Kluyveromyces lactis: one gene and its partners. The protein of the gene in region 1 purifies or fractionates together with the protein of each later gene. This does not show direct contact. Links are inferred from orthologs where the notes say so. Each region holds a gene or a part of one and is shown on either strand. Other genes may lie near its edges. The genes, in order: LPX2, KLLA0_D16236g, LSP1 and KLLA0_F13618g.

Evidence for each region.
Region 2: the proteins of LPX2 (region 1) and KLLA0_D16236g purify together in Saccharomyces cerevisiae (affinity purification with mass spectrometry; 3 studies listed by BioGRID). This does not show direct contact. The link is inferred for Kluyveromyces lactis from reciprocal best matches to the Saccharomyces cerevisiae genes EIS1 and YGR130C.
Region 3: the proteins of LPX2 (region 1) and LSP1 purify together in Saccharomyces cerevisiae (affinity purification with mass spectrometry, with the first as the bait; 3 studies listed by BioGRID). This does not show direct contact. The link is inferred for Kluyveromyces lactis from reciprocal best matches to the Saccharomyces cerevisiae genes EIS1 and LSP1.
Region 4: the proteins of LPX2 (region 1) and KLLA0_F13618g purify together in Saccharomyces cerevisiae (affinity purification with mass spectrometry; 3 studies listed by BioGRID). This does not show direct contact. The link is inferred for Kluyveromyces lactis from reciprocal best matches to the Saccharomyces cerevisiae genes EIS1 and SEG1.

Annotation. Positions count from the first base shown.
Region 1 is NC_006039.1:1,066,312-1,071,994, reverse strand, and holds LPX2 (Lpx2p), read right to left. Parts: upstream 3,231-5,683; coding exon 738-3,230; downstream 1-737. Other genes in the region: SFK1 (Sfk1p), read left to right, coding at 1-353; formin-binding protein HOF1, read left to right, coding at 4,579-5,683. UniProt on the Saccharomyces cerevisiae protein: Required for normal formation of eisosomes, large cytoplasmic protein assemblies that localize to specialized domains on plasma membrane and mark the site of endocytosis.
Region 2 is NC_006040.1:1,366,008-1,371,528, forward strand, and holds KLLA0_D16236g (uncharacterized protein), read right to left. Parts: upstream 3,327-5,521; coding exon 711-3,326; downstream 1-710. Other genes in the region: protein translocase subunit TIM44, read right to left, coding at 1-238; KLLA0_D16280g (MARVEL domain-containing protein), read left to right, coding at 4,785-5,294.
Region 3 is NC_006041.1:1,270,373-1,274,854, reverse strand, and holds LSP1 (lipid-binding protein LSP1), read right to left. Parts: upstream 1,909-4,482; coding exon 952-1,908; downstream 1-951. Other genes in the region: KLLA0_E14433g (TauD/TfdA dioxygenase family protein), read left to right, coding at 1-353; ULA1 (Ula1p), read left to right, coding at 2,701-4,137; ATP-dependent RNA helicase SPB4, read right to left, coding at 4,164-4,482. UniProt on the Saccharomyces cerevisiae protein: Together with PIL1, main component of eisosomes, structures at the cell periphery underneath the plasma membrane that mark the site of endocytosis.
Region 4 is NC_006042.1:1,259,936-1,265,595, reverse strand, and holds KLLA0_F13618g (uncharacterized protein), read right to left. Parts: upstream 3,289-5,660; coding exon 1,021-3,288; downstream 1-1,020. Other genes in the region: aspartate transaminase AAT1, read left to right, coding at 1-815; glutamine--fructose-6-phosphate transaminase (isomerizing) GFA1, read right to left, coding at 3,738-5,660.

The DNA of each region.
Region 1 (5,683 bases):
GCAGACACTACGCTGTCGTCCATCCTCTTACAAGTAGTGAAGATATCGGCAAAGACACAAGGTGGAATGAATGGCACGGCCATGTTTGGAACAAGTATACTATCAGTGGCTTACTAAAGGCATTTTGGGTAATAGCTGCTTTCGTTTGGGCTATTTGTTTTGCATGCTTAGAAGATAGATCAACGACTGCCTGTTTTGAATGGCTATTGGCATTTTGGTTCGGATTATATTTCATTATTGTCTCTGTTGACTGGTATATTGGCGGAAGATATACCCAGTCCAAGTATTTCCATCAAATCACAATTACGGAGAATTTGAACTATTACAAGTACAATCAGTTGAACGCACTATAACTCACTTAGTTTCTCAAGAAATTATTAATGAAGTTGTAAATATAAACTACTCGGAAGGATATTCTGAAATATAGCATAATGATAATACTAGTTAGAACTTTACAAAAAATAGAGTATATTATAGATAGAATAAACAGAACAGAATAAATTACCAGGCTTCTGGGAATTTTAAAAAGTGTTATGAGATAGAGAAAAAAATAAAGTTCATAGTGATACATAACGGTTTGTTACTTTGAAATGGCTTCAAATTATGAAGAGTTGAATCATTCTGACACTGTAATTAAAAGATCAATCAATAAAAAGAACTTTTTGATATACGTGATGAATTGGTTTTAGAGTTCAATAGTATAAAAAAATGTGAGCAGACCATGTTCACAGCTCAAATCAAAATACTTCTTTGAACAAGGACTTTCTGTTGTCCTTGGAAGTAGGCTCTTCTTTTCCACCTTCTACTTCAGAAGCATCTGACTGTTCGACTTTATTATGAACGGAGCCTTGACTAAAGCCACTAAATGATGGTTCCAGTGAAGGTTTGGTTTCTGTTGCTGTAGATTTCGGTTCAACATTTTCCTTCTTTTCGGTTGTGACAGTTGCCGTTACTGGTTTATTAGAAGGCTTTGGGGAACTTTTAAGAGGAGTTGGTTGCGTGGTCTTTGTATTCTTATTTTGATCAGATGGCTTCAAACCAAAAAATTTCTTGATAGAAGATCCTTTCTGGTCCTTATCAGATTTTTTCTTTGATTTCAATGGAGAGGTTAATCCTCCAATTGAATGCTTTTTGTGAGCAGGTGGAGAGGCAGGGACATCCGCTTTAACATTTCCAGTAACACCTTCAATTTTGGTACTTTTTGAAGAAGGTTCTGATAACTTTGGGTCAGATTGCAATTTAGTTGCTGGCTCAACTTTTTTTTGGCTAGCAAGGAATTCTCCAGATGTTGTTCCCAGGAAAGCCTTGGCCTTTTCTTCGTCAATTTTATCCTCATTCTTTACTTCAGCAACTTCTTTCATAGCGTCAATTAATTTAAGTTTTTCCCTCTTTACTTCAATTTCGGTGTTTGATAGTTCAGTTTGACGTTCGTTAATTATCGCATCTACTTCCAATTGCTTGACCCTTGCTTCTTCACTGGAAACCTTGGCTTCTTCCTTTGCTTTTTCGGCCATTATGACATAATTGGTTTCGATACCATCTTTCAACTGTTGATGGCTTTCAGACTGGAGATTTAAAGCTTCAGTCTCTGTTTCCAGTTGCTGTTGCTGTGTTTCAATTTGAGCATTTAATTCTTCTACATGAGATTTATGTTTTTCAATTGAATCACGAAGCTCCTGGATATTTTCTTCAATTTTACCCTTTTGATCCTGTAACTCCGTGTGATGGTCTTCTGCAGCAGCGAGGTCATTTTTGAATGGAACCAGTAACTCTTCCTGGTCTTTCTTAGCCTGTTCAAGTTCATTTTCATTGCTTTTTTGTAAGTCGGCACATTCTGTTGTAATCATTTCATCCTCTCTCTTTAGCTCTTCTTCATTATCCTCTTTTAATTTAGCAAGTTCCGCCTTCTTAGCTTCGAGTGCCTCTTTTAATTTAGCGACCTCACTGTCCTTCTGCGTACAAAGATTCTGGAACTTTTTGGCCAAAGTAGCTTCGATATCAGCAGTTTCCTTCTGATGATTTTCGAAAGCTTTAGCCTGTAGCAAAGAATCATTGTTTTGCTTTTCAGTTTGAATATTGACCCATTCTTCGTATTGCTGTTGGTAATCCACGCTTCTTTTTTGGATATCAATGTCCATTGCACGTTGAGCGCCGGTTCTTTGGTCAACTTCATCAAGCACTGGTGCAATGAGACCCTTCGCAATATTATCGATATCATCAGGAGCTAGCCATAAACCACCGCCCAAATTTACTTTATTGGCAGTAGCAGAAGCAGAAGAACGAGTCTTTCTTAAATTTTCCTGAGCGACACTAGCAGCAGCCCTGTTATACTCCGCGTTTCTAAAGATAGCCCTTTGAGAAGTCTCACGATCAATGGTATCCAAACGTTGTTGAGCGTTCAGTTTAGCTTTGGTTAGGACTGTTTCTGAAGTCAAGTTCTTGATAAGCCTTTTCCTTTCTTCTTCCCTCTCTCTCCAGTTCTTGTCGGTGACATCATCCGGGTTGAAATCCTTCAATGCAGCAACAGCTTTCTGTGCCCATTCAGCTGCATGAGATTCCTTTTCAGCGGATTGGATGTACTCCTTTTTGGTAGGTAAATTAGATACAATATCAGAAGTTAGAGAGAAACTTGCATCAGCAGCTTTGCCCACAGAACGATCAGTGATACCTCTCACATAAGAAACCTTTTCTGGATTAGTACGTTGATGAACACTTTCAGCAGCGTTTCTTTCAGCACCCGCCAAAACTTTAGTAATATCCATCTTTGGTGTCTTAGAGTGCAATGGCGAAGAAGAACTGGAATTGACATAGGTTACAGTAGTACTTGCTGTACTAGAGGTCCTAGACCTAGCAGCCTTGGGAGCAGCAATTGCAGCAGAAGACGCAGCAGACGAAACTACAGCACTGGCTGGTCTGGATTGGTCAGTTTTCTTTGGAGTAATGACCGCATTAGCTGCCTTCGAAGCATTTGGATTCAATAACCTTTTGTAGGCTTCGATGGTGGTCTTGTTGCTCGTTGCCAAATTGGCAGCAGTATCTGAAGCATCCTTACCATTAACCACGCCGGCCTTCAGAGACTGAGCTGGAGACTGGAACACACCGTACTTCAATTTTGCTCTGTATAGAGCCTCCTTGGATAATGGTTTACCGGCACTCTGGTAAACAGAACTTTGTTCTGCACCATTAGTATCCCTGGATTCGTCGCCAGTTACCGCAGAAACTAAAGACATTCTGTTTCTGGTAATATATCTGGGTATTTTCTTAGCTACTAATAATTCAAAGTAAAAAGCGAAAGTGTTCCTTAGACTCGTACAATTGAGCGACCAAGTAGTGTAGTTTTTTGGTTTATGTTCCTCTCAAATTTGTAAAACACAATAGGACTTGGTTCACGTTCTGATTTCGATATCAGTAATTTGCTTATCCTTTGCCCGTTTTTTGAGAAGTTTAGTATTAACTCTTCTTTCTAGTGGGAGTAAACGTAACTATGATAAACCTTTACTTGTAATTACGAACGAAATACACTTGAATTCACGTTTGTTTTATAATAAAGCAACGAAGCGAATATATGCTAAAGTGAATTGTTGATTAGAAACCCTATAATTAAGGATATATAATTTCTTGATATTGCAAAGTAAATAAACTTAAAAGAAAAAAAAATTGGCTAGAGTGACTTTTTAGGGACTCCTGGCGAAAAAAAACTGGCCAGAATAATTGAGAATAAAAAAGGAAGGAACCAAGCTGAGGTACCGCAGAAACTTATACCCTCAGTGTAGTTGGAACCCTTGCTGTTGAGCTGGTGCCTTGGTTGTCATCTTTGTTTGCCGTTTTTAAGGGGACGATTGCTATTACGAATTGTATCATTGTATGTACTGTGTTGCAGAGAAATAGTCTCAATTTGGGAACAATGTCGTAATGAAAACAGGGGAAAACTCGGCTGGTTACCCTGATATACAGTTTGTACGTTGTTTTCTGTGAACCTTCTTTGATGGTTCTTAGCAGGAAGAAAATACTCACGACGTTTTTGCTAATTATTTCATTGCAATCCCGTGCGGAGCTAAAGCATATCACAAAGGAGACATAGAGAGTTTTGCGATGGGTTAATTCAGGAATTTAATTGGACTCTCAAGTCATTAGACGGTGCTGTCCATATACCAGGGTAATCGTCAGAGATTATGGGGATTTTAGGCTCTCCTATTTATCCTCGCTTTCTCTTTTCATGTTCTTGTACGGCCGGTACAGACAAAAATGATAGAGGTACAGAATTAAGCATAATTTCCCTTTTTGGTATTATTACTTGCTTTGCAATAAACAAACAAAAATATAAGTCACGTGATTGAACTTATTCCCCAATCAGGAATAATGTAAACATCATCGAACAGCACTATCACAGTGATTGTATTCAGTTGTAGAGATGGATGGTTCTGGCTCTCTCACCAAACTTTGTTCGGTGTATGTTAACAATTCACAAGGATTGAAGTTAGATGTACGGTATCTGTTTTGTCATTCAACAATCTACAATTGAAGGGAAGTTGAGGGCATAACAAAGAGTAGGTATTAGCAAGGAAAGCTATCGATTGAATGACTCAAATATACAACTATCAAGAAAGTTTCTGGGACGAAGACGATCAAGGTGTTACCGTTCTTCTTCAGCATGTTGGAAGAGGTATATGCACCTGTGAGTTATTGCTCGATTGTTTCACTAAGAGAAGTGAGTTGGAGATGGATTATGCAAGAAGATTAGGAGCACTCAGTGCAAGAATAATGAACAATCTCGAACGATATGCGGACTACAATAATATGTCTGAATCCTTAAAATATTTCCAATCCTCCCAGCAGACAATAGCCAATGGTCATTCTAAGGCATATGAGAGGCTCAACAGGGAAAATGTCGGTACGATGAGTGATTTCTTAAAGCAATATAGAGCCAGATGGTCAACGATAACGGGAAACGTGGAAAACTTAAGGAAGTTGAAAGATGAAAAGAAGAAAGCCTTGAAATCTATAGATCAAGAATTACTCAGTGCTGAGAATAAACTGAGAGAGTATCAGCTCAACAAAGAAACTGCCTTGGGCGAATACCAAAGGAAAGAAAATGCGAGAGAATTGGAAAAATGGTCTTCGATAGTGGAAGAATCACACCGTAGGAAAACCGTCTTACATCATGAATGTAAAGCTGCTAGAGCACATTGGTTTGAGGAATGGAGACATATTAGTGGAGAATTGCAAAGTTTAGAAACACAAAGAATCCAGGTCTCTAGGGAATTACTACAACAATACGCTGATTTTACAACCCAGCCTTCGGAACTGGAACTCTCTTTGATGGAACAATTAAAACAAAAACTTTCCAGCTTCACACCTGAACTTGAAATATCGCACTTTTCTTACCACCATGGTACTGGAAGAATCAAGTTGAAAAACTCTAACTCAGTTTCAACGCACAACTCAAGTGCTAACTCTAACCCATCTAATGTGATCCGTCCGAAGAGTTCTCACAAGGCGTTGGATTTAACAAAGAATGATAGGTATGTTCAAAATATAAAAAGACTATCAACCCAGCTGAAGAACACCAGGCTCAATTCAATAAATGCATTAAGTGTCGATAAAGGGTTGCCAACTCCAAAAACTGATGCTGCCCTTGTTAATTCCATAGAATCGAAGGTCCTAAATGATAACTCTGCTCCGC
Region 2 (5,521 bases), on another chromosome or scaffold:
CGCGAGCTTTCTTGTAAGCTTCGGACTCACCTAACTTACCAGAAGCATCCTGTAAAGCTTTGATATTGTCTTGTAATTCTTTAGACTTCTCCCATTCCTGCTTAAAAGTTTCACGGAAGATCTGTAACGGAGATCTAGGGTTGCTCATAGCCTTAGCAGAGACTGTGAATGTACGCACGGTGGAAGCACGGGCAACTGCCTTGTGCATCATTGCTTGCTGGCCGTTAATTCTCAACATTGGCCTTATGATTTGTAAAGAGGTAAATTTAATACCGATAGAAAGGGCTGGAAAAAAGTGACGATACGGTCAAGGACAGTCAAAAGTAGTAACTGTTCACAGCCTAACTTCTAACTACTTATTTGGATATAGTAAGTCCAATTAAACTCCGATAACTATATGAGCTCTGTGATTATAATGAAAGATATTACTTTCATGAATAACTTTGAATAAAATCGATGATTGTTCATGAAATTTCATTCCAAAAAATAAAAAAAAAAAAAACTTCTCAAAAGTCCGCTTTATTTATATCAAACAAGAAAGACTGAAGTGGGACAAGACAAGGAGTACATTGGCTATCCCCTTCGTGCACAACTTTATCTAATGGATAAAGAAGTAGAATGATAAATCAATATAAATTAGAAACGACATATTTTAGAAATTACAAAGTCCAATGTTTAATGTTATTTCGTTTTAAGATCTCTTTTGTTATTCAATCAACAGTTATGACTTCTTCAACGGTTTCGTAGTCATATAGAGAAGAATTTGTGGTGTTTGCAGGTGGAACAGCTGCTTTCGTTTTTTTGTTGCTACTCTTCAGGGCATTTTCGACTGCACTGGCAGCTTCTGCTTGCCTTCTCAACTTTTCTTCGTGTTCAGCTTCCAGTCTCTTGTCTTCGGGATTACCTCGTTGTTGTGCTTCAATAGCCTTTTCACCTTGTAGACGAGTTCTTTCACGTTCTACTTGTTCACGTCTCTGTTGTTCTTCTTCAAGTTGTTTGGCCGCAGCTTCACGTTGCAACTGTGCCTCCTTCAGCGCCTCGTCGTGAGTTTGCTTCAGGTTAGCCAGCTCTTCTTCGTGCTTCAAACGAGCTTCTTCAGCTTGCTTTTCGTACTCGGTACGTTGCTTTTCTAAACGCTCCTTTTCTAAACGCTCACGTTCCTCTTTTTCTTTTAGCAATTGTTCTTCATGTTGTTTACGCTCTTCCTCCAATCTCCTAGTAACACTAGAAAACTCGACCTTTTGGTTGGCAATTTCTTGTTGAATTAAACCTAACGAAGCAAGTAGTGAAGAAATTTCGGTATTAATTTCATTGACCTTAGGTAAGTACTCCTTGTTGTCGATACTTTCGATCTTGGAGACGTTTTGTTGGTGAAGTTCTTGAGCTTCTTTAATTTCTTGTTCCAATCTGGCCTTCTCTTCTTCCAAAGCTTGAATTTCAGCATTAGTTTCATCCTTCTTAGCCAAGGATTCATTCAATGCAGATGTCTTATTATCCAATTCTGCTGTCAACTCTTCGACCTTCGATTCGTGTTCCTGGTTTTCCTTGGCAACTTCATCTTTCAACAACAACAATTCATCAATTTCAGATTGGACAGTTTGGTGAGCAACTTCTTTGTCCTCTTTATCTGAGATGGTTTGGTTCTTGATTTCTTCAGTTTGCTTGTACAGATCACCCTTGGCGTTAATGTGCTTGACGTTAGTTTCTAGTAATGCTTGAGATTTCTCAACTTGCTTCAACTTCAACTTTTCCTCATGTTCCAATCTAACCTGTTCCATTTGCGCGTCCAATTCAGCAATTTCAGCTTGAATTGATTGGATCTTTTCCTCGTACTCTTGGGCTTTAGTTTCATACCTTTCATCTTGTTCCTTGGAGTACAGGGCCAACTTGGCTTGGTGCTGGTCCTCGTCGTATTGCAACTTATCGTAAACAGACTTCGAGACGTAGCCTTCTTGTGTTCTGACAATTAACTCTGGATCTTCAGGGGTGGCCACTGGCGCATCATCGCCTGGAACAACGGTGCCAGCAGCGGCATTTGCAGCAACTTTGGTCGAGGACTCTGGTTTCTTCGAACGTTTGAAAAGGGCAAATAAGCCTGAAGCTGCAATTCCAGAAGTAGCTGCAGCAGTACCGGCCTTATTGGCGCCACTGGGTGTGAATGGAACACGAGGGGCAGAATTGATATCTGGTGGAGGAGAAATAGCTTCTGGGTTCTCAGTTGCGATAGCTTCGGCCTCTTGGAATGCCTCAACAGCTTCTTCCGGGGAAGGTTCGGCTTCAGGATCCACTGGAGGCTCCTCATTGTCCTGGACAATCGCCTCGGCTTCTTCGAACGCTCTCACAGCGGCCTCAGGTTTTGGTTCGCGTTTAGGATCGACCGGTTCCTCCTCGTCATCCTGGACAATAGCCTCGGCTTCTTCGAAGGCTCTTACAGCCGATTCTGGTCTAGCCTCACGAGATGGATCGACGTATTCATTAGCATCATCTTCCGGGGCCTTGTAAACACCGGTTGGATTTTCTTGTTCTTCTTCTTCAGCCAACGGGACTCTTGGAGGAACTTGGCCCTGCGCAATGGCTTCTGCTTCTTCAAGAGCTTCAACAGCAACTGCTGCTGATGGCTCGGCTTCAGGATCCACTGGAGGCTCCTCGTCGTCCTGAACAATTGCCTCAGCTTCTTCAAAAGCCCTCAGCGCGGCCTCAGGCTTTGGCTCGCGTTTCGGATCAACTGGTTCCTCTTCATCGTCTTCAGCCATAGCCTCGGCTTCTTCTAGAGCTTCAGCTACATCTTCAATGGGAGGTTCCTTACTAGGGTCCACCTCATCCAGTTCGTCCAAGTTATCCGACGCTTCAATTGCTTCCTGTGGCTTGGTTAAATCCACAATCTTTTGAGACTTTCTCCAATAACGTAACTGTTTCTCCTTCTTTTCCAACGCAGTCAATCTAACCTTCTGCTCAGCCTCGGTATCCTTCAACCCAGAAGGAATAATAATATCCTTGGCCTTCTTCACTGACTTGTCGGTAACAACGCTGTACCCCATCTGTTCCGGGTCAAGTTGTACCGCACCTTGGCTCAGAGTAGGGAACTTCTCCTGTCTCACTTGACGCGCACGTTGAGTTTCTTCCGCCGTACGGAAGGGAGAATGGTACTCATTATCATCTAGTTCTTCCTGGTGCTGCTGTTGTTTCGTGGTAACTCGCTTCAAAATACTGTTACTGTTGGTAAGATCATGCTGTTGTTGCTGTTCGGCGGCATGGTCCGCGTCATCGAGCAACCCTGCAAAGGGGTCAATTTCGTTCCGTTTCCTAAACAAGTTCAAACCGACCATTATTAACTGGAGTTCTATGGGATAGGATGCTGCTGTGTGCGTTCCAAACTAAATCAGGATCAGCGTCTAATCGCTGTCGTTGTTTATATGCAAAGAAACTTCCTTCCTTTATTTATATAAAGGAGGTATAATAAATGAAAAGGGAGGAAAAAAAGGGAGATCCGACAGGGTAACACGCGGCTAACTAAAGAAAGCCGGGTAACACCGATATCACATTGGAAATTTTGAAGGGACCTCATATTCTCGCATGTAAATCGCCAAGGTCATCCCATTTTGCTCTTAGAGCAAACAGCAATAGCAAGCGCAAAAAACGCACGGAGAACCACTCATTTTTTGTATGGCCTCGGCCCCCCCACACTGGACAACGGAAATAAGCAAACTAACAAAAAAAAAAGAAACAAAAAGAGGGACCCAGGGGACGGTTTTGTTTACATTACCCTGCCTCCCCTAAAACAAAAGACGTATGCTTTTCTCATCTTCGGCAGGAAACCTGAATGGTTCTGCCGTAGCGATGTCTAATACCGGGTAATGCATGTTCCCCTATTTCTTACTCGTCGCTGCACCGGCATCTGAGCGAATTCAAGGTTTTCCCTCTTTTTTTTTTCCATGTCATCACAGAAAGTTTTTTTTTTTTTTATTTGTTTTGCTGTTTTCAAGCCGAGAAGACATTGAGATACTGCGCCCGGGTCTGAGATTGCTGTCAATTGTTCGTTTGTTTTGGTTTGTTATGAAACTGGAAAACGCTGGAACAAACAAAAACCTTACCGCTAGAATTGCAGGTACTACGGAAGAGCAGAGACTGAAACTAAAAGCTATGAATGAGGCACTTCTTTATTTCTATTCGATACAGAGGGATATCCAGAGAGATATCCAGAGGTTCCAGTTTCAATTCTAGGTCTCTCTGGTTGCTTTCGGCAGAACAATTGGGTCTAGTAGAGACAGATGCAATTACGTTTTATTCTGAAAGAACTGAATGAAGAAGTATAAGCACGGAAAAAAAACAAAAAAAAAAACCATTTCTTGGTAATGAGAAGAGAAGAAACTGTTGTCTTTTGCATTTGTTATTGTTTTTGCCTCTTTCTGTTAAATGGTATTAGTTATACAGAGTTTTTTGAGTGCAGGTATATAAAGGGTAAAAGTTTAAGGAAGAAATATTTCAATCCGGAAATGATTACATATATTGTATGGTTCTATCCTTTAATAAATAAGGGAAACAAATTATAAATTTTTTCTGGTTCTTACTTTACTTCTTTCCTTCACTCTTTTACTTAATATATAAAATAATACTATTATTGTTTAATTAATAATACTTCTGTTATCAATTAAGGTTTAAGTCTTTACATCAATAAAAGATAAATTAAGTTCGAATTTGATTGCTTGCTTGATAAAAAGTTGGTAAAAGAAATCTCTCAAGCTGAAATTAAACCAAAACTCTAATATAAGAAAAAAAAATAGAAAATGCTTTCAATCTTAGACAATTCGCTTCGTGGTGTTAACTTTGTGTTTTTAATCATTGTTCTCGGTCTAGTCGGTAATTTGATTGCTACTCAGGACCATTCTAGTTCCAGAGTTAACTTTGCTATCTTTGCTGCTGTTTTCGGTATCGTTTTCGACTCGTTGTATGCTTTGATAGCTAACTTCATCTCAGCTTTGGCTTGGCCTATCATATTAGTCTCTTTGGACTTCTTGAACTGGGTTTTCACCTTCTCTGCAGCCACTGCTTTGGCCGTTGGTATCCGTGGTGGTTCTTGTACTAACGACAGTTTCACTTCCGGAAACAAGATTGCTGAAGGTTCTAAGGACAGATGTCGTAAGGCACAAGCTTCTACTGTGTTCTTGTACTTCTCCTTTGCCATTTTCTTGGTCAAGTTCATCTTGAGCATTGTTAATGCTATCACTTCCGGTGCTTTCGGGACCAGTTCCAACAGAAAGACTCAAGTCGGTGTCCCAACCATCTCCCAAGTTTAAAGAGTTTATGATACAAAAGAGAGGGAGGGAGAGGGAGATGCGTAATCTTCTGCTCCCGCTCTCGCTCCCGCTTCCACTATTCCTTCTTTGAACAATAGAGAGAGACAGAGAGAGAGGACACGATCAACACTTTGAAAGAAAGAGAAAAACTTCTTATACCCCCCCCCTATTTTTTTTTCGTTCTTCCTTTATTGTATACATATACCATACCCTGCTACTTCATCTAT
Region 3 (4,482 bases), on another chromosome or scaffold:
ATCCTGTGGTAAGAGTCCATCCAGTTTTGAAGAAGAAAGTCCTTAACATCAACAAAGTGTTCACCAGAAAAATTGTCGAACTAAAGAAACCTGAATCAGATGCTCTTCTAGCATTTTTGTATCAGGTTATCGATAATGCTCATGATGCTCAAGTTAGGGCTAATTGGAAGCCGGGCACTGTAGTTGTATGGGATAATCGTAGATTGTATCATGCTGGTGTATATGATTTCGATGCTTCTGAATCTACAAGACACCATGTCCGTGTGACTCCATTGGCAGAAAGACCAGTCGAGGATTTGAAATATTTGAATGACCCAAATTATTACCCAATTGGTTCAAAACCTGGTAAATGAAGCTCCTTCAATTTTTTCATGCTATGTAAATTGTTTTAACTTAACTTATTAAGACTTTAACTGACTGCTTCTTTTAAAATGAATATACTTATGTTTCTAAAAAGGATACTTGAATCAATTATCACGTTGTTCCGTATCTTATCCTTGCTAGCTCGAACTTTCCACTAAATCCAAAGACTTTTCGAGTGTTATTTCCTGTGATTTATTGGCCGTTTTTATTCATACCTAGAGAAGCCAGCAGGAAAATTCAAAACAGATTGATCGATATTACGACCGAATTCCAATGGCTGTTATTAACTCAGCACGATATTAGAAGTTAGTGTTACTTAAAAGAGATATAGAAATGTTTTATTACATAGAATATGAGAGTAGCAATGGTATAACGGACTTCACATACTACCGTTTTACCTGTCACACAGTAACATTGCGAGCTCTCTGGAAAAATTCATTTTTAAAAGTTAAAGAGGGCACGTACACGGCAGGAACGAGTATTTGATTCTACAATAAATCATTCCAATATACGCTAGCCACATACATTTTTAAAGAAGTGAGTGTAGCGGCATTGGTAAAATAAACTAACGCATGTGATCGCGAGAGCTTATTTAACTTCAGTAGTCTCAACAGCTTCTTCTTCTTGGCCACCTTCATGTTCACCAGCCCACTCTTCTTCAGCAGCTAAGGCTTCACCTTCCTCGCCATCTTCATCGACGTAAACATCATCGACTGTTTGGTGGAAGGACAAAGTTGGCTTGATAGCAGCGACATCCAAGGTCCAGGATTCCAAAGCTGATTCGGCATCCATGATGATTTGTCTTGAAGCTTCGTAACCATCGTAAGCGGCTCTAGCTTCTCCAGGAGTCACTGGAGAATCGTCCAATAGTTCTAGTAAGGCCTTACCGTAACCAGCGATTAATGCGAATTTCTCAGCTAATTCTCTCACAGAGTCGAATTGATAATTGAAAGCAGCCTTTAATCTTTCTCTGGTAATGTTAGACAATTGGGCTTCAGCAACCAACGATTCGGCTTCAGCACGAACCAATTCTTGCTCCAAAACTGGGATCTTGGTGGATTGAGGGTCCTTGTACTTCAAGTGAGCAATCTCATCAGTAATCTTTTGCTTACGGTCTCTTGATGGTTGCACAGAAGCTTCAATGTTTCTGATAGATTTCAAAGTAATTCTGTATTGGTCATACTTGTCAATGAATTGGTCTTGCAATTCAGCCAGTTCATAGATAAGAACGCCTAGCTTGTCAGTCACGTCAGACACGTCATCGTCATTTTCAGAACCCCATAGAGACAATTGTTTAGCAGCAACACGACGTTCACTAGCAACAACTTCTAAAGCTCTCAAGTAACCCTTTTCGGTCTTAATTAAAGAGGATAGCTTTCTAGATAACAATGGGCCGAACTGACCAGCAGTATTCTTTCTGATACTGGAGGCAAAAGAACCCTTACCAAAAAACTTAGACTTGGTAGTAGATTGTGGTGGAGCTGGAGTTTGGAGCTCTGAAGCTGTAGGAGCCTTCTTATTTCTCAAAGAGTAAGTTCTGTGCATTTTTGGAGACTAGTATCGGTATTTAATTTAACTTCTTGATATCGAATATTTTCTGTTTCCCCTATTTCTTAATCTAAAAGCAGCACTAGAAGAGTAAATTGGCCCAAAAAAAATTTCGATTCAACTAGATTAAACTATGTATCGAAGTTTACTTGATATACCTGCGTAAGACCCCTAAAATTAATCCGTCAGAAAACAAGACAGGTAGAAAGATAATCAATTACTTTATATAGAGGAAAGTTATATGTAGATAGCAAAAAAGGTTCTGTCCCAGGCCAAGAAACTCTGATTATTTTTTTACTGCCTATTGCCCTTTTCAGTTATTCCCAAATAAAAAAAAAAAATGCATAGAAAGAGAAAGAGAAACAGAACATGACCCACACTTACTTTCTCTAGGGACATTGACATGGCATGAGCCACGCAATTTTTCTCTTCTTTGCAAATTGCGGGCACGGTTCTCTATGTTGGTTTCTTCAGAAACTTTTGTTCGACTCTTCTTTTCGGCTTATCATTCGAGACTGGAAAGAATCGTATGTAGGTGGATGATATTATAGTACTTCCTGCTTCCGCTTTGTCTGGTGATGGTGGTGTTGGTTTATGATATAGCCGTAGCAAAAACAGGGCCAGGAAATGACGAACTAACAGTGTATTGCCGGCCTTATGTTGGCTCTTTAGAGTCTCTTATGAAGTTTTAGGGTAATGCTGAAGTACTCGTCCGGGTAACGGTATGCAGTTGATCTAGCTTGAACTTTGGTAATCCAACTGATTCGCTTGAACTTTTAAGCTCATCTCATGATAAATACGTCATTTGATTCCAATCAAGGCGGGCTCTCTTGCATTAGAACTAGTGTTAAAGATCAAGGACCAAGGGCGTTGGTACAGGTTATGGCTGATCAGATAAATGGTGGTTTGGATGACCGTTATGATCGACAGTTGATGATCTGGGGCCATTCAGGCCAGGATTTACTTTCTCAGTCTCATGTGTGCGTTGTAGACGATAATCAGACATTGTTGATGCGAGAATGTGTCAAGAGTTTGGCTCTCATGGGTATTCATGAGATTACTGTAGTTTTTGGCTCGTCTAATGGATCAGATTTTGTGAACAAGTCAAACTCGGATATTTTAGGTTTTGATGCGTTAGAAAGTATGAATCCAGATGTTACGTTCCATATTTGGAACGAGAATGCAGTTCCAATTGATTCACAACATAAGTTATGGAACTCTTTCTCTATTGTCATATGTTTGTGCACGGCTGGTCCGTTGTTACAACGTGTCATGAAACTCTCAGCAGTTCCTCTGATAATGGCATCCACCAACGATAACTTGGGATTTGTTCGTCTTATAGGCAGTGAACCTCATTGTGTCATTGATTCTCATGGACATTTCACTTTCGATTTAAGACTCAATCGTATGTGGCCTGAACTAGCAGAATATCACGAATCATTCGATGTAAAAAATATGTCACAGGAAGAGGTATCCTCCTTGCCTTATTCCGTTCTACTGTACAATGTGGGAAAATCATTAAAGTCAAAGAATATTCCTATCAATAGAAAATCAGTGAGGGCAGAGTTCATCGAACTTCACGATTCTATACTCTCTGGACCCTTGACCAATGATTTGAACTTTGTGGAAGCAGAGAGGTCCTCATTCCTGTTATACGATCAATCAGGACCATTTCCTCACAATTTGACCAACATCTTGAATAGTTTTCATGCTGAACCTAATTCTACAATTAATCGATGGGTATACCAATTTGTACGATGCATCAGAATATTTTACGATTTGAGAGGCGATTTACCTGTGTCCGCATTCATTCCAGATATGGAATCCTCAACTAAACTATTCAACGCGCAGAAAGCAGTATATCAACGTAAAGCTGCCAAGGATAAATCAGAAATCATGCGCATTCTAGCAAAGGAGAATTATAGTTTGATACCTGAACCACTCATAGATAAAATGCTCGAGAACTTAAAACATTTGGATGCAATTAAAATGGGTAGCCTCTCATCGGCAACTAGAACTATAAGTGAAAAACCGAAGTTCAATAAGTTGCTATCGCTACAAAACGATAGACATGATACAACGTTTGTCAGCCCTGCGATGGCATCAATTCTTGGTGCAATGGTATCACAAGAATGCGTGAAATTATTGACACATCAATATGTACCGGTTGAAAACACATTGTTATATGACGGGGACTCGAATGAAACAAGCACATTTATATTATAATAGATTTATCTACGATATGTAATTGACTATAAATCATCGAAACTTCCTTGCATGGAGTTATGCTTCTTTTTCTTGTTTTGTCTTACAAGGTCTTTCCAGTCTTGCTCAACTTCATCTTCTGATTCCTCATCGCCCCGCAGAAGTTTCTCTTCAATTGCCTTCCTCTTGATGGCCATAGCTGCTCTTCTTTCAGCTTTGGCTTCTTTAGTTAGTGTCTTATCGGACCATGCCATGTTCTTCTTCTTTAGCTCACTTTTCAGTTTCTTTTTATCGCTTATTTGCTTGAGGTTTTGTAATTCTTGTAACCTCGCCTTCTCCTTTTGTTTATCTAAGTAAGCAAATGTG
Region 4 (5,660 bases), on another chromosome or scaffold:
ATTCGAACGTTTTCCAATGGAACGGATTCAATCAGATCAAATATTATACGTACTACGAGGATGGGAAATTGAGTATCGATAAATGGCTCAAGGAACTCAAGGAGAGTTGTAGTTCTAGGGACCCCGACTGGCCCCCCTCTATAGTGTTACACGCTTGCTGTCATAATCCAACAGGAGTGGACCCTACGTTGGAACAATGGCAACAGATATTGCCAGTGATCCATGATTTAGGAATAACTCCCATAATAGACATGGCGTACCAAGGAATGGAATCAGGGAACCTTATACAGGATGCTTATCTATTAAGAATGTGTCTAGAATACGAATGGCCCAACGGTCTATTTGTGTGCCAATCGTTTGCTAAGAACATGGGCTTATACGGTGAACGTGTAGGTTCGTTAAGTGTCGTTGTCCCACCAAATCCCTTGGATCTCAAATCAACCATCGACTCTCAACTAAAGAAGATTGTAAGAGGTATATACTCTTCTCCACCGGGATATGGGTCTCGTGTAGCGAACTTGGTGCTAAGCAATCCAAAATTGAAGCAGCAATGGTTCGTAGACGTTAAGAATATGTCTGATAGACTATGGAACGTTAGAATTCAAATGCATGAGAGATTGAATTGGCCCAATCTTGTTGATTTTAAAACACAACATGGGATGTTTTATTACACAGGGTTAAACCCATATCAGGTTCAAATTCTGCAGGAGAGGTACGGTATTTATTTAACTGAAGACGGCAGGATGTCGTTATCTGGAGTTAACGACGGTAATATTGATTATTTATGCGATTCTTTGCGCCAAGTGGTTCAATAATCACATCAAGATGTTTCAATATCATCAAATTGACTTTAATTAATTTCACTTTATTTATTTATTTATTTATTACTACAAAGCTTCGGTTTGAATTGTACATTAGATAGTTTTTAGTGTTCTTAATCACAATTTTTGGGTAACTAGAATACAAAAGGGATTATAAATGCCCATTACATGTGTTTCGTGTTATATTAGTCGCTACTTTTCAGTGTTTCTTGTTACCGAAAAGCTTCTTTAGTTTACTGCTGAAGTTGTTCTTCTTTTTCTTCTCAGTAGTGTGAGTTGCGTTTATTTGAGGCTCTGGCTGAGGTCTCAAAGTAGCATGAGGATTGTATGGCGCGGGTGGAGGAGGTGCCGGTTCATATTCGCTTGAAACTTGAGTAGATCGACTCCCTTGGTTGCTGAACTGTAGGTTTGCGGATTCTTCGTCCGAATCAGAGTCGGCAAATCTTGATTTGAATCCATGAGCAATTGACGACGCTTTTGGTTTGTTATTGTTGGTATTGGAAGCAGGCAGTGGTACTGATCCGGAGACATACTGTACACCATTGTACGTTACTCCACTTTTAACAGGGGTTGAGTTTCTAGATTGTCTTTGTTGTGGATGTGGTTGGAATGGGGCTTGAGGCTGCTCGTACTGGTCAGTGAGTTGCGGATCCTCTCTCAACGATAAGTTTTTAAATCCAAGGTTGGTGGACATCGGTCTTTGCTTTTCGAAGCTTGAACGCTTTTGAGGAGGTTCCCTTGGGTAAAGTCCACTATTTTGTTGCGATTTGGCATTGTTGGACGGCTTCCCTACGACACTTCTAGGTCTAGCATCGCGAGGGGAAGCAACACCGGAATTATTCTGCATGAAAGAACGTCTATCACCATTAACTCTTTGAGCCATCATTGATTGCGGTCTTTGAGAATTTCTCTTAGGAGCTAGAGGCTGCTGGTTTTGCTGTTGCTGTCTTCGGTATTGATTTTGTGCTTGTTGTTTGCTGGCGGTTTCTCTCAAACTTTCGTGAGAAAGTTGCGCATTTAACCTAGTGTTTTCCTTTGTTGTTAAAGACAGATATGCGCTTGAAGCTTGAGATTGTTGTTGAAGTTGTTGGCTGTTGTGGTTTGTTTTCTTCATTGCGGATTTTATAGGTGAAGGAGTCTTTTCTAATGGAATCTTAGGGGTAACAAGAGCATCCTCCTCATTAACTCTCTGGAGTTCTGGATTAGCGGACCTGATATACTGAGCGAGGGTGCTTTTGCCTGTCTCCGGTTGGGACTCCGGTTGGGACTCCGGTTGAGATTCTGATTGACGTTCAGCAACGATAGGATCTTGAACTTCAATTTGATGTTCCTCTTCATCAACCACTTTTTCAACTATAGTTTCCTGGACACCATCGTTGCCAGGAAGAGCCTTTTCTTTTGAATCCGGAATATCTACTTTAGATGTGTTATGCTCTGCTTTTTTGAGAGATTCCTTGTCAGTTTCCTTCTCGGCATTAATCGTTTCATCTGGCAAAGAAGTAACTTCCTTCTGATGTGTAAGAATAACGTGTTCTTCTTCTACCACTTGCTTTGAATCAAGGTCGATCTTTTGTTCAACAGCTTCTTTGGTAACGCTTAGATCAGTATGAATTTTTGGCTGTTCTTCTTCTGTCGCTGAGTCTATCAAATCTTTAGTGATAGCTCTTTCAGGAGTCTGTGGTAATGCAGTACCGTTACCGAAGGATGGGGGTTTGAATTCTTCGACTGGAGCTGATGTTTCTTTGGCTGTAGTTGCATAGACAGTCTTTGTGATTCTAGGCACCGGTGATGGCGAAGACCTATAATGAGTAATATCCGCTTTTTTTTCTTCAACGGTAGGAACTTCTGTAAGTTTTTTCAATGGGGTTCCAGAAGGTGTTCTATGTCCAATTGAGTTTGCTCTTAAAGAGGCATGACTCCTTTTATTAGAAAGTGAGTTTCTTACAGTCATCCCACCACGTAAAGAAGTCGACCTTCTAAGACTGTTTCTCCTCTCAGCCTCGTACTGTTCCAAAGGAACTTCGACTTTGACCAACCCATGGCTGCTAGGAATGTATCTAGATACCATTTTAGGCTCATTATTGTCATTATCAACACGTACCAGACCACTGGGTCCTAGCACATATTTGGCCTCATTACCACCAAACTCATGGAAAACCTTGTCTGCATCGCTTTGAGCAACCCTGTTACCACTCTGTACGGAACGCATCGAGCCATACCTGGAAGAACGATCTCCAGTATCACTAGCATGTCTCACAGAGTTCCGACGAGAACTTGGTTTGGGACTGTTTACCATCGAGTAGGAACGGCCACTTATACTGTTATACCTGGGAATCTTACTCTTATCTACAACCTGGCCCCCAAACGAATCCTTAGAAGGTACCAGTGCCTTCCCAATGGTGTTTGCAGCAACCAAAGCACCAGGATCAATAGAACGCGATTCTCTTGACTTTCTAGAACGAAACATTTTTTTTATAAAAGCAACAGCAGCTTCTTTAATCCCTCTCTTGAACCAATTCCACTTAATATATACTTTCAGCTGACTGATACACGAATTACACCTGTTCTAGTGCCCTCTAACAAACAGTAATGGTATTTTACGTGCCTTTGCTTTCGTTATTTCTGTTGATGTTCGGCACTTAAAGTTCGATTTGAATGTTTTGCCCTTTTTTTTTTTCTGTTTTTATCTCAAGGTATCAATCATTCGAAAAGAAACCGAAATAAGACCAAATCGGACCTAAAGGTATGAAAACAAGAGACAAGAGGGTTACCATTGGTGTTACAATGTTAATAGTAGGTAGGAGGGGAACGGAATTGATCTGACGGGTTTGTTAATTATATATGTGGAGAATGTATCGGACAAACTAGAAAAATTAGATAAACTGTACGCAAAATGAGAAAAAGATAGAGCCTTTCTTACTCGACAGTCACGGATTTAGCCAAGTTTCTTGGGAAATCGACGTCGATACCGTTGTTGACTGCCAACCAATATGAGGTCAATTGTAATGGGATAATGTTCAATAGACCTTGTAGACAGTCGACAGTTTGTGGAACTTCCAAAGTAATCAAATTGTTGGCCTTGGCCTTGTTTTGCCAAACTTCATCGTTTTCGTTGCAGATAATGATTGGATGACCCTTTCTGGCTATCACTTGTTCGATTGAGGAAAGGACCTTTGGGAATAGGGAATCTCTGGTACCGAAAGCGATGATTGGTAAATCTTCGTCGACTAATGCTAGAACACCGTGTTTCAATTCACCAGCAAGCACACCTTCTGAATGCATGTAAGAGATTTCTTTGATCTTCAATGCACCTTCCAAGGCACTTGCGAATTGGTAACCTCTACCTAATAGAAGTAAAGATTTCTGATCCTTCAATTCTTTAGCACAAAGTTCTTTGATCCTTGGTTCCACGTTCAAGACTTCTTTGATTTGACCTGGAATCAATTTCAAACCTTGGATGATCTCGTTTCTTCTTTCGATCTTGGAGACTCTATCGTCTGATAGAGAAAGAGCCACCATTACTAATGCAATATATTGTGATGTATAAGCTTTTGTTGATGCAACACCGATTTCTGGACCAGCATTGATGTGGACACCGCAGTGAGTACTTCTAGAAATGGAAGAACCAACACTGTTCACGATACCCAAGGTCAATGCACCTCTTTCCAAACAGTAATTCAAGGACAACATGGTGTCAGCAGTTTCACCGGATTGGGAAACAAAAATACAAACATCGTCTCTAAAGATTGGGCATTTTCTATCCAAGAAATCTGACGCTAATTCCACTGATACTGGAATCTCCGTTAGCTCTTCGAAAATGGCTCTTGTAGCTAAACAAGAGTGATAAGAAGTACCACAGGCGATCATTATTAATCTACGAGCTTTCCTGATGGCAGACAATCTAGACTTTAGACCACCCAAGTTGACCAGATTGTGTTCAAAATCTATTCTACCTCTCATGGTGTTCAAAGTAGATTCTGGTTGTTCATAAATTTCCTTTTGCATGAAATGTTGGTATGGACCCTTCATAATTTGAGCCAATTCCATCTCAAGGGTTTGAATGGATCTGGTGGCAGATTCTGTCAATTTTTTGTTAGCTCTATGGATGTGCAATTCACCGTCGTAGATGTGAGCAATATCATCGTCTTCCAAGAACAAGACCTTCTTGGTGTGTTTTACAATGGAGGCAGCATCACTGGAAAGGAAAAATTCGATTGGAGATGGAGAACCGTCTTCTGATAAGAAAGCTCTTGATTGAGATCTACGCAAGGTACTTTCGTCACCGGCCAATGGAAGCAAACTTCTATCAGCATCGTTCAACAAGTTACATTCGTTGTTAACTGGCAAATCTGGTAACTGCTCAGAATCTGGGAATTCAACGTCGACGAAATCAACCTTCAATTTCTTTTCAGATTTAACACCGATCAACAATGGGGAACCCTTTCTTGTGGCGATGATTTCATTTGGATAATGAGTAGACTTACACAAAAGACCGTAAGAACCTTCCAACTCTTGCAAAACTTGCATCGTTAACTCATGGAAATCTGGATCATGACCGTTCTTCAAATTTGTGTCGTAGATATGCTTGAATAACTTGGCAATACATTCAGTATCGGTATCGGATTCAAACTTGTACCCTTTATTCGTCAAAAGCTGTCTCAAATCTCTAAAATTGGTGATGATACCGTTGTGAACCACAACAAAAGTACCGCTTGGATCAGATCTGTGAGGATGACAATTCACCTGTTTTGGCTCACCGTGTGTAGCCCATCTGGTATGAGCAATACCACAATGAGTGACAAAATGCGCGTCCCTGTTTGGCTTATGAGCTTCGATCTC